Linked DNA regions of Cricetulus griseus. The protein of the gene in region 3 purifies or fractionates together with the protein of the main gene of each other region. This does not show direct contact. Links are inferred from orthologs where the notes say so. Each region holds a gene or a part of one and is shown on either strand. Other genes may lie near its edges. The genes, in order: Arpc2, Arpc3 and Arpc5l.

What was found.
Region 1: the proteins of Arpc5l (region 3) and Arpc2 fractionate together in Homo sapiens (co-fractionation; 7 studies listed by BioGRID and IntAct, with this or other methods). This does not show direct contact. The link is inferred for Cricetulus griseus from reciprocal best matches to the Homo sapiens genes ARPC5L and ARPC2.
Region 2: the proteins of Arpc5l (region 3) and Arpc3 purify together in Homo sapiens (affinity purification with mass spectrometry; 7 studies listed by BioGRID and IntAct, counting the BioPlex papers as one, with this or other methods). This does not show direct contact. The link is inferred for Cricetulus griseus from reciprocal best matches to the Homo sapiens genes ARPC5L and ARPC3.

What each region holds. Positions count from the first base shown.
Region 1 is NC_048595.1:427,495,505-427,499,154, reverse strand, and holds part of Arpc2 (actin-related protein 2/3 complex subunit 2), read right to left. Parts: intron 3,644-3,650; coding exon 3,457-3,643; intron 2,397-3,456; coding exon 2,303-2,396; intron 1-2,302. UniProt on the Homo sapiens protein: Actin-binding component of the Arp2/3 complex, a multiprotein complex that mediates actin polymerization upon stimulation by nucleation-promoting factor (NPF).
Region 2 is NC_048597.1:102,222,517-102,226,266, reverse strand, and holds the start of Arpc3 (actin-related protein 2/3 complex subunit 3), read right to left. Parts: upstream 2,626-3,750; 5' UTR 2,387-2,625; coding exon 2,381-2,386; intron 1-2,380. UniProt on the Homo sapiens protein: Component of the Arp2/3 complex, a multiprotein complex that mediates actin polymerization upon stimulation by nucleation-promoting factor (NPF).
Region 3 is NC_048599.1:150,270,669-150,274,418, forward strand, and holds the start of Arpc5l (actin-related protein 2/3 complex subunit 5-like protein), read left to right. Parts: upstream 1-924; 5' UTR 925-1,044; coding exon 1,045-1,193; intron 1,194-3,750. UniProt on the Homo sapiens protein: May function as component of the Arp2/3 complex which is involved in regulation of actin polymerization and together with an activating nucleation-promoting factor (NPF) mediates the formation of branched actin networks.

The DNA.
Region 1 (3,650 bases), on a different chromosome or scaffold from region 3:
CTACATAGTAAGACCCTGTCTCAAAAAACATCCATGAACAACAAAACCAACAAAAAACAAACAAAAAACGAAGAATTCAAAGTCATCCTTGGCTACATAAGATGAGTTCTCTTCCTCCTTCTCCCCATTCCTCAAGAGATTTAATCAACACTATTTCTGCAGTGGGAAATTGCCTTTAGACAACTTGATGTCTTTGCTTCTCCCTTGCTCTCTCTTGAAATAACAACAGCAATCAGCCCCACCAAACAGCCCCAGTCTTCATTATTAGCCTAGCCGTCACATAAAAACCAACCTGATTGTTAGGATGTCGGCTGAACACCAAGTACACTATTACTTTTTTTAAAAACATTTATTACATTTCATTCACTCTGTGAGTGTGAGCATCTGGTCTACTGCACATATATGTGGATTAGAGGACAACTTTAGGAAGTTAGTTATTTCCTGCCACCATGTAGGACCTTGGGATGGAACTCAAATCAGGCCATCGAGCTTGTGATTTTACCATGGCACTATTTCTTTCTTCCAACAAAGTACAATTTATCCTGGGGATAAACTGTGTATGATAAAGGTAGCATCTTAAATTAGCCTAGCCTAGATTTAGTCCACTTCTTAACTATTGCATTTAATTCCCATTAATTATGCAAACAGTATTATGGAATGTCTGTCTAGGGGCTTACCTTTAAGAGTCATATATGCATACCCTCTTTTTCTTCATGAAGTCCAGTACTATCAAATGCCAAAGTGTCAATATTCCACTTTTCACAAAGGGACTCCCAAACAAGAGTTATTGATCAGTCAGTCCCAAAAAAAGGCATTAATGAGGATGGCATTTTGACATTTTCCCTTGCTAGGTAGAAGGTCCATACATAAAGCCTCACTGTGGTAACCACAGCTTCTTTTAAGCCTCTTTTGGAAGGGGGGGGGTGGTGGTAGAGATTGTACTTTAAAATTTTTTTTTTTCTCTGAAAGAAAAAAAAATTGAGGCCTAGGCCATCTTGCAGCAATCCTCTTGCCTCAGGCTTCTAAGTGGTTGGATTAGACGCTGGGCAATAAGCCTGTCTGCTTCAGAATTAAAAACAAAACAAAATAAAATCCATCATTCTGCCAGAGAACAGGAAAATGTATTAAAGCTTTATATTGCAGTGTGAATGCTTATCCACTTCAGAAGGCAGCAGCCTGAGTATCTCCTGATCAATAAGCTCTCATGTCTGAGAGCCAGTGACTGGCCAGCAGGCAAAATGACACAGTCACAAGGGGTCTACAATATGCTGAGTCCCACTGCACCAGAATCCCAATGACAAAATGTTCTTCTAAATCCCATTACTCTTCCCAGCAGGAGGCAATCTACGGTGACTCATTCAAACTATGGCAGGGCTCTCCTGTCAGCCACAATTCCACCTACTGAATGTTATCTCCTACTTTGGAATTCATTATTCATCATTCTGAAGACATGGGACCTAATGCAAGCCAAGAACAGTCCTTGATACAAAAACTGAGTAAACATGAGATAAGGAAATGAGACCACACTTTAGATCAAGGACTCTGTCACAGGAAGGAAGGATAGTTAATATTCAGTCAAAATTAACTCTCCCTCTTGCCTTGTCCTGCAAAAGGCTAGAACCATCAAGAAGAAATAGTATATTCATATAAGTTGGTGGGGGGCCATGCTGGTTAGCTTTTGTCAACTCAACACAGACCTAGACATTTCTGAGAAGAGGGAACCTCAACTGAGGAACTGCCTCCATTAGACTGTCATGTGGGCATGTCTGTGGGGCATTTTCCTGATTAATGATTAATGTGAGGAGCCAGCTCACTGTATGTTGTGCCACCCTTGGGCAGGTGGTCCTGGGCTGTATAAGGAAGCAGGACAGGCAAGCCATGGGGAACAAGCCAGTAAGCAGCACCCCTCCATGGTCTCTGCTTTAGTTCCTGCTTTCAGGCTCTTGGGCTCCTGGACTCCTTCAGTGATGAACTGTGACCTTGAAGTCTAAGGTAAAATAAACCCTTTGGCCACAGTGTTTTATCATAGCAACAAAGAAACAAACTAAGACAGGGTTGTTCATCACAACTTCCAAGTTCCAACATTAACAGAACTTTGTCTTTCCTATGATATGGCCTACATGTATGTTATTCTGTTACCATGTTCCCAGGTACTGGGGATTGAACCACAAACCATGTACATATTAGGCAAATGCTCAACCACTGATCTATACAACCCTACCCCATATGTTGGCTAGGTATGCAGAGTGTAAAGATTTAACTTCCTGCAACACCATTTCCCTTGAAGATTTGTGCTCCATACCTGCATGAAGACCTTTCCGATGACCACATCGTCGTCATCCTTAAACACCGTGCTGAAGACTACTGTGACTCTGTCTTTTTTAGATTCAACATACCTGAGGGAAACAAACTCGGGCGTGTAAGTACAGCATCAGGAGATTCTGTCACTAACTATCTGCAAGAAGGGTAAAGTGCAGTCTCCAACTCAATAAAACAAAGGTGTGCCAGAGACTAGTACTTGCAGTCAAGAAAGTCAGGGTAGTAAATGCATTCCCAAGAAGGAAGTGGAATTAACAAAACTAGGTTTTTAAATCTTGTATATAAGGCATAACATTATTTTAAATTAGTAATTCTTAATAATGTCATTTAAAAAAAGTTTCTTTACATATGATAGGATCCATACATAGTACACATTTAAGAGCTGCAGTTACAGCATCTATGCTTGGTCTCTGGTGTCTGACTATCTAGGCCATTTTTAAATTTTTTCATGTGTTTATTTAATTTTATATGTACAGGTGTTTTGTCTGTATGTATAACTGTGCATGTGTGTGCTTTGTGTCCAAAGAGAAAGTCAGATGCCCTGGATTTGAGTCACAGACGACTATGAGTTGCCATGTGGGTTGATAACTGAACTCAGAGCCTCTGGAAAAGCAGACAGTACTCTGAAGGGCTGAGTCTCTCCCTAGCCCATGGGAAACTCCTTTAAGAAAACTCAGAAAAGTAATGCCTTGGACCTGCAGAGATGGCTCACTGGCTAAGGGTACTGGCTGCTCTTCCAGAGGACATGGGTTCAATTCCCATCCTACAAAGCAGCTCACAACCATAAAATACCAATACACATAAAATAATAAGAGTAGTGCCTAGGGTTGGAGAGATGGCTCAGAGGTTAAGAGCACTAACTACTCTTCCAGAGGTCCTGAGTTCAATTCCCAGCAACCACATGGTGGCTCACAACCATCTTTTATGAGATCTGGTGCCCTCTCCTGGTGTGCAGATATACATGGAAGAAGAACGTTGTATACATAATAAATAAAATCTTAAAAAAAAAAAAAAAAAAAAAAAGAGTAGTGCCTTAAGGACAGCACAGGGTTTCTTTTCATTTGGTTGATACTGTATCTCTCTCAGTCAGTGCTGTATGGAGGCCACCACCAGGCTGGAGCTGAAGTTCACACTTACATGGTCTCATCGTCCCGGTAATGGATGACCGCTCTGTTCTCTCCTTCCTTGCCCTCTTCTTGGAACTGAAAGTATTTCTCAAAGACAGAGGCAAAGCAATTTCGCTTCAACATGCCAGCCTGATGCACAATAGAATCCTTGGATGCAGGCAGATTTTCAAGGTCATATAGCAAAGAAACATTGTATCCTGATGG
Region 2 (3,750 bases), on a different chromosome or scaffold from region 3:
CAGAGTGTTTCAGAAGTGGTTGTTGGGTTCCCTGGACCTGGCTGTTGTGAGCTGATGGATATGGATGCTGGGAACAAAATTCTAGTGCTCTATTAAGAGCAGTGTGAGAATAGGGCTTTTCTGATGTCAATGGTAGCTAGCCCTTCAAGAGCCAATCTGCCCCACCTAGTAAATCTTTTATGTACATTTAAAACTTTTAAATTTATTTCTATTTTTTTGTATGCCTGTATGCCAGAAGAGGGTATTAGATCCCATTATAGATGGTTGTGAGCCACCATGTGGTTGCTGGGAATTGAACTCAGAATCTCTGGAAGAGCAGCCAGTGCTCTTAATCCCTAAGCCATCTCTCCACACATTTTCTTTTTCTTTCTTTTGGTTTTTTGAGACAGGGTTTCTCAGTGGAGCTTTGTAGACCAGGTTGGTCTCGAACTCACAGAGATCTGCCTGTGACTAAAGGCATTCATCACTACCGCCCAGCACCTCCACATATCTTTTAATCTCCCCACCTGGTACCACTTCTGTTATCCAAAGGCATTGCTACATTGCTAGAACCTGGTGGCCCAAGGGGCTGACCCTTTCCCGTACCCTTCATTTCCTACGTGAAGACTCTTTTAAAACTAGATAGTCATGAAAGACACAGTCACTACTTGAGTGAGAATAAAAACTATGTGAACTACCCACCCCATCCCATTGTGCTTGCTAACTCTGTTTGTGTCCAGGTCATGGTACATCTTTTGGGTTTTTTTTGGAAAAAAATTGCTGTTAAGTTGCTTTTGCTTTGTTTATGTGTTTCTTTGTGTGACACCAAGTATATGTGCTTCTAACAGCAGCAAGCACTCATAACTGCCGAGCCATCTCTCTAGGCCCTGACATGAGATCTCATATATCACACAAATATCACATATATAGGCACACATGTGATATTTCATGCTAACAGAGAAAGCAGACATAAAATAAATTATCATAGGTTAAGTCCAGAACTTTCTGTGTCCAACTGGAATGAGCACAGAGCTTTCCTTTCTGGCTTAAACTCTGGCTTCACTTCTTGTGAGAAACACTGCACAAGTCACATTAATTCTCTGAGCCCTAGTTCCTTCAGCAAAACCATCACAATAAGGACATCTACTTCATAGTGTCATCCTGGGAATGAAGGTCTCATCTGGACAGTAACCCTGGGTCTCCACATACACTCAGCAACTCTAAGACTCATCAAGACTCATAAACCTTACAAAGCTGAACTTGGTGATGCAGGCCTGTGATCCTAGCTACTTGGGAAGCTGAGGCAGGAGCATCACAAGTTCAAGGCCAGCCTGGGCAACTTTATGAGACCCTTCCTCAAAATAGGGTAAAAAGGAGGAGGGGATATAGCTCAGTGGTAGAGGATCTATATAGCCTGCCATGAGTTTCTGGGTTCAATTCCCAGCACTGCTAAAACACATACACAGAGCTGAAACTTACACTTGCTCTCCTTTTTGACCCAAGTACACCGTATCTACACCAGCCTGGTGCCCTCTCTGTCATGGGGTACTGTGTTGGTTTTCTTCTTTGCACATGTCCATACATCACTCATGCATGTTTGTGTGTAGTGTATAAGTGTTCATGTGTGCATGCAGGTGTATGTGTACATCTACACATGGAAGCCAGGTCTCTTCCACAACTGCTTTTTCCACTTTAGTTTTGGGACAAGGAGCCTCAGGGATCTCTAACCCTTCCCAGCTCTGAAATTGCAGACGAGTTCCTTCCCCTGACGGTTTAATTGTAAGCTCCTTGAGCAGGCCTTGGTAGCTGCTGTTAACAGTGCTGGTTTCCTAGTGAGAGTTCAGGGATGCTTGTCCAATGTGGATTTATTCACGCATCCCTTTACTAATCTGCAAAACAGAACCCATGATGGAGACCGGCAGTCAAATGTCAAGACACATCGCCCATCACCAATTTTTCCTCCCACTCGAAAGCACACGAAAAAGAAAACTCCTAGAAACCAGCGCTGTCTCGATCGTGGTCTGGAGCTACAGCAGGGAGAACGAGGTAGGGATCGGTCAGGGAAGCGAAGCCCGACAGGTGTTTAGCAGCAGGCTGACCCACTCCATGGGGCGGAGGAGGAAGTGGAAGTGACAACGGGGAGAGAAAAGGGGAAGCTGGACCCTAGATTTAAAAATAAGTTAAAAGCCGTCGTTCTTAACTTCGAGGCTCTCGGGTGGGATCTGGGAACACTGCAGGACTAGGAAGAAAGCAGCCCTGCGAGAAAAGGACTGGAGCAAAGGGCTGGGGCTGGAGAGCAGGGCAGCTGTTTTCTCTCTCCCCGGACTTCTACCGCGGCCTCCCGCCTCTCTTCTGGCCCTTGCCCCGCTCGCCTCTCCACCCTCGGGGCTCGAAGCCTTACCGGCATTTTGGAGGTGTCCGGATTCGATCCAGAGAAGCAGGACCCAGGTAAAGCGGAACGCTTCCGGCCAGCGAACCTGGGTGGAGTGGGCGGAAGTGAGCCGGAAGAGGCGGGCGAAGCGAAGAGATGCACTTCCGGTTTAGCTTCCGCCTCCCGGTTGCTGCGACCGCTCTGACCGGAAAGGACGCCAGGGATGTGCGAGCAATAGGCTGAGTGTGTAGCGCATTCATAAAACGCGCGCACGCAGCTTTACAATTAAAGAGTCCTTCAGAGGTTAATAATCACCTCCCGCTTTTTTTTTTTTAAATTCCCTGGCCTGTTTCAAATCCGGTACCACTCAGCTCCCTGATTTATCCTCCTCCACTGTCAAGTTTTTATTTTTACCGCAGCCCACGTGGGGAGTCGAAGTTGGTGCTCACCTTCCACCATGGGGACTCTGGGCACCGATCTCAGGTCTCCGGGTACCTTTGCACTTGAGTCATCTCGGCGGCCCTTATTTTTCTTTTCTTTTTTAAGATTTTATTATTATAGTCTTCTGCCTGCATGCCAGCAGAGGGCGCCAGATCTCATTCAAGGTGGTTGTGAATCACCATGTGGTTGCTGGGAATTGAACTCAGGACCTCTGGAAGAACAGTCAGTGCTCTTAACTGCTGAGCCATCTCTCCAGTCCCTATTTTTATTTTCTTGTGGAAGATTCTTACAATGTCCAGGCTGGTCTCAAACTGGATACATGTGTCTTGAATTTATGAGCCATCCTCTTGAATACTTTTATGCTGGCATCACAGGTGTGGTCCCCATCACTCCTGGTTGCTCAGTTTTATGATGTCTACTTGTGGTGTTTCATCTCCCTGTCTTCCTTGTCACATTGAGACAGTCAGGGACCACCATGGGAGTAAAGTGCAACACCACTGCCCATCCATGTAACACTTGCCTTTAATCCCAGCACTTGGGAAACAGAAGCAGGGGATCTCCGAGTTCGATGCTAGCCTGGTCTACAGAGTGAGTTCCAGGATAGTCAGGACTACACAGAGAAACACTCTCAAAATACAAAAAAAGGGAGGACCTATTTCTTTCCAACACATACATTCATAAATACATATCTCAAAACACAGTTTTAATTTTTAATTGTATAAATAATGTTTGATTTGGGAAAATAAGATTCATGTATATATACCCTTCCAATATTTTTTCATTTGGAGATATGTTTTGTTACAATAATTGTACCTCTTCAAAAACAAACAAATCAATCAAAAGAAAATCCCTCAAAAAACAAAAATCCAACTGTAAATAAAATTAAAATTAGACTCAAGTGCACTGGAGTGTGCACACATACATACACACACACACACACACACACAAGAACAAGAGAT
Region 3 (3,750 bases):
AGTTCCAGGACAGGCTCCAAAGCTACACAGAGAAATCCTGTCTTGAAAAACCAAGAAAAAAAAAAAAAAGGACATCTTTTATAATATCAGATGTTAATTCCTGCTATTTTATGGCCAGCCTGCATCCCAGATTTCTTCTTATGTATGGGGCAGATATACAGGTAGGTTTTGACTACTTCCAGGATCTGAGACTTTATTCAGCATCTACTTGCACCATGTCTGCCTGGCAGTTTTTGATCTACAGATACAGTTCAATGGGAAGTAGGCAAAGCAAAACATGATGTTTCAAATACTGTTTTTGCACAAGAGTGCTATCAGATGAAAATGTAGTAAGTTTTCGTACAATTATGGGAAAAGCCCATTTTAGCCTACAGCTGAAATCAGGAGAAACCAGCATCCTAGGCCTCCTGGACTAACTGCACTCTTCCCACCGGTTTCTGAATTCTGCTGCTTTCGCCTCCTAAAATGCACCTCTTCAAGTCAGCATCGGCCTTCAGCAATAAAGGTGACCACGGCATCTTTTTTTTCGGAGCGCCCGGAGATGTTGCTACATCTTCAAGTAAAGATGTCCTCAAGCGTCATGTCAGTTCTTGGGTTATACGTTAACGCAGTTATAAAGCCCTTCACTCCTTTAACAAAGTCACTTCTCTGTAACCAGACAGGAATCCTTTTGTGGGTCAGTGCGGTTCGCGTCCAAGGTAGAGAGGCTCAGGCGACGCGCTTCACTATCACTCCTTCCTCAGCTCAAGGGTTTCTTCCTCAGGAGCTGACGGAGGTGCTGCCTGTGCCCGCAGGCCGGTAGCCTGGAGGAAGACACAGCAACCGCGGCACCGCTAGGGGAAGCCACAACAGGAACAAACGAATCCGCGCCTCTGTCCCGCCCACACAAGCTTCCGGTTCCGACGTGGCCCGGAAGTGGGCGGGCGGCGGCGGCTGCGCGTGGAGAAGGGCAGGAGGTGCTTCGCTGCGGCTTCCCGCCCCCGAGCGGAGCCGGTGCGGAGGGCAGTGGGATCTAGCCGGCTGGGCAGCCGCCGAGCTCCCGCCATGGCCCGGAACACACTGTCCTCACGTTTCCGTCGGGTGGACATCGACGAGTTTGACGAGAACAAATTCGTTGACGAGCAGGAAGAGGCGGCGGCGGCGGCTGGCGAGCCAGGCCCCGACCCCGCCGAGGTGGACGGGCTCCTGCGGCAATATCCTTCCCGGCGAGGCCGCTCGGACTCGGCCTTCGCACGCACCCTTCTCGCCCCAGCCCTAGCCCCCGCCCGGCTTCTACCAGTCCCGAGCTCCCCGGGTCCTTCGTCCCCGGCCTCTACCCTTCCTCAGCAGCGCGGCCCTGGAGCTCGTTTTACTCCTCCGCATCCCTCTGGGTACCCGTGCATGGGCCTTGATCCCTCCAAACCTCCTTGCAGGAGACTGGGCCATGCCCGGCCGCTGATCCGCGGGAGGGCCGGAGGTGAGCCACCTTGGATTCATTGAGCAGCCAGGGCCTCCGGCGGCCTGTCTATGGCTTTCTTGGGCCCGATTGCAGCCCAGCGTGAAAATAGGTGGGTGGATTGTTGGGGGGAAGATGGACCAGAGGGTGGGGGTTGGGGAGGGGAGGGTGTGACATTGCCGTGCCACCTCTTCTCACCTGTCATCACATTCCTCTGAGCACGTTGGGTTTTGAGCTTTTATGGGCCGAGCCACATTCAACAAGTGATTTGCGACTCTCCCATTAACTGCCTTGTGCAGGAAGCATAGAAAAAGCTAGTGTCAAGTGTAAAAGAGACTCCCCAGCGACTGGAAATGACTGCTCTTGTGGCCACAGAAAACTGACGTTTAGAACAGAAGAATAAAAATAGAGGTGACTGTCAACTGGCTTGAGCACCACGGGGAACTGACAATCTCACAGGAAGTTTTTATTCTTTATGCAAATGGTGTGTACCCTTCCCCCGCACTTGCTAGGGCCGTGTTGGAGGCTCTTGCTGTATATAAATCATGTTCTGGGTGTTTAATCAGTTGACTTAGCCTGGGAAGTCAGGCCTACTGCTTTTGGGAGGAGCCCCGTAGTTCTCTAATATACCTTTAAAACAACTCGTCCAGACAGGAGTGTTTTCAAACGTGGAGATTTCAAACTTGTATTTCCTGCATCATTCAAGTGGTTAAATGGGGTGATGAGAACGGTTTTTATTGTGGTGCAGGGAATTGACTGGTTTATGGGCACTCAATTGTTGACAAGGCTCCAGAGTGATTCATTTGACCCAGAATCCTAATTATATTGATGAAGAGACTGGGGCTTGGTCAGCTGTTGCCTTGGTACTTTTTTTTTTTTTTTTTTTTTTTTACCGGAGACAGGGTTTCTCTGTGTCCTGGAACTCACTCTGTAGAGCAGGCTGGCCTCGAACTCACAGAGATTCACCTGCCTCTGCCTCCTGAGTGCTGTGACTAAAAGTGTGCGCCACCAATGCCTGGCGCTAGCTGTTTTCATTATTTTTTTAATGAGGCAGTTTCAGGCTTTAGATTTAGAGCTTCTAGAGAGAGGAGATGGCAGTATCAGAAGCCTTGTTACGGTGGAAAATGTACCTCTTGGGATTGGGAGAAGGGAGGTTAGCAGATGAGAAGTGAAACCCTAGCAGATGTCAGCAGGTAGGGGGAAGGATGGAAGTAGTAATTGAGTGCCTTCCAGGTGCCAAGTGTTGGACTTCGATCATTGCATTCAATCCAAAGAACCTCATGGGAGGGAGTCTTGGAGAAGAGCAGAGGTTTGGGGGGGGGGGCTAAGAGGAAGTGGTCTCCGCTGTTGTGGGAATTGCCATTGTAGAAGAGCAGATAGAGTATTTTTCCCTGGTGCAAGAAGGGACTTTGAGAGCCCTTCCCACGTGAAGGGATACGCTCTGGCCGTGGACACATGGGGAAGGGCCCAGGACCAGCACAGGAAGATTTGGTGGACTTTGCAGAGCCCCGGTTGAGAGGTCACATACTTCTCAACCTCAGTATTCTTTTTCTAAATGATAGACATAACTATGCTGGCCTCACAACTTCAATGTAGCTTCACGGAACACACATCTGGTGTTCTCCACAGGTTGTGGTGATGGAGTGTACAGAGGGCTTGGATTTGTGACCTTGAGCAGGTAATTTCCCTTCTGGCTCAGTTTCATTGTCTCAAAGGAAGAAGTCAGGTTCTTGTCCCAGAGGATTTTTAAAGGAAGGTGAAATGTGAAATGTGACTGCATCTAGTCCTGGGTCTAAGACCCTGGGGAGATTTTTCCTCCACTCTGGCAGTTTTAAATTATCACTGTAGCTCATTTTCTTTCTCAGTGAAGCAGCTTTTGGTCCTTGAAGAGGACTATAGAGCACCATTTTGAGTGATTTCATATAGTTCTTTTCACCCCCAAGGAAATTTGACAATCTGGTGACACTTGTTTATCACAGTTTTAGGATGTTACTGGGAACTTTAACGGTAGAGGCCAGGGAGGCTGTTAAGCATCCTGCAACACACATCAAAGTTTTAGGGTCATGGCTGAGAACAGTCTAGAGGGTTCTGTAGTTACCACAGTGTGTTCTCTGAAAGTGCTGGAAGCTGTCTAGGTATGGAGGTAGTTTAGTAAACTTTGTGTGATCGTAGAGTTGCCCCCCCCCCCCCCCCCCCAGTTCTACCCAGCAGTAGCTTTTGTGAAGATTGCTTCACAAAAAGCTGCAGGTACTGTCTGGCAGTGGTGGCACAGACCTTTAACCCCAGCATTTGGGAAGCAGAAACAGGTGGGTATC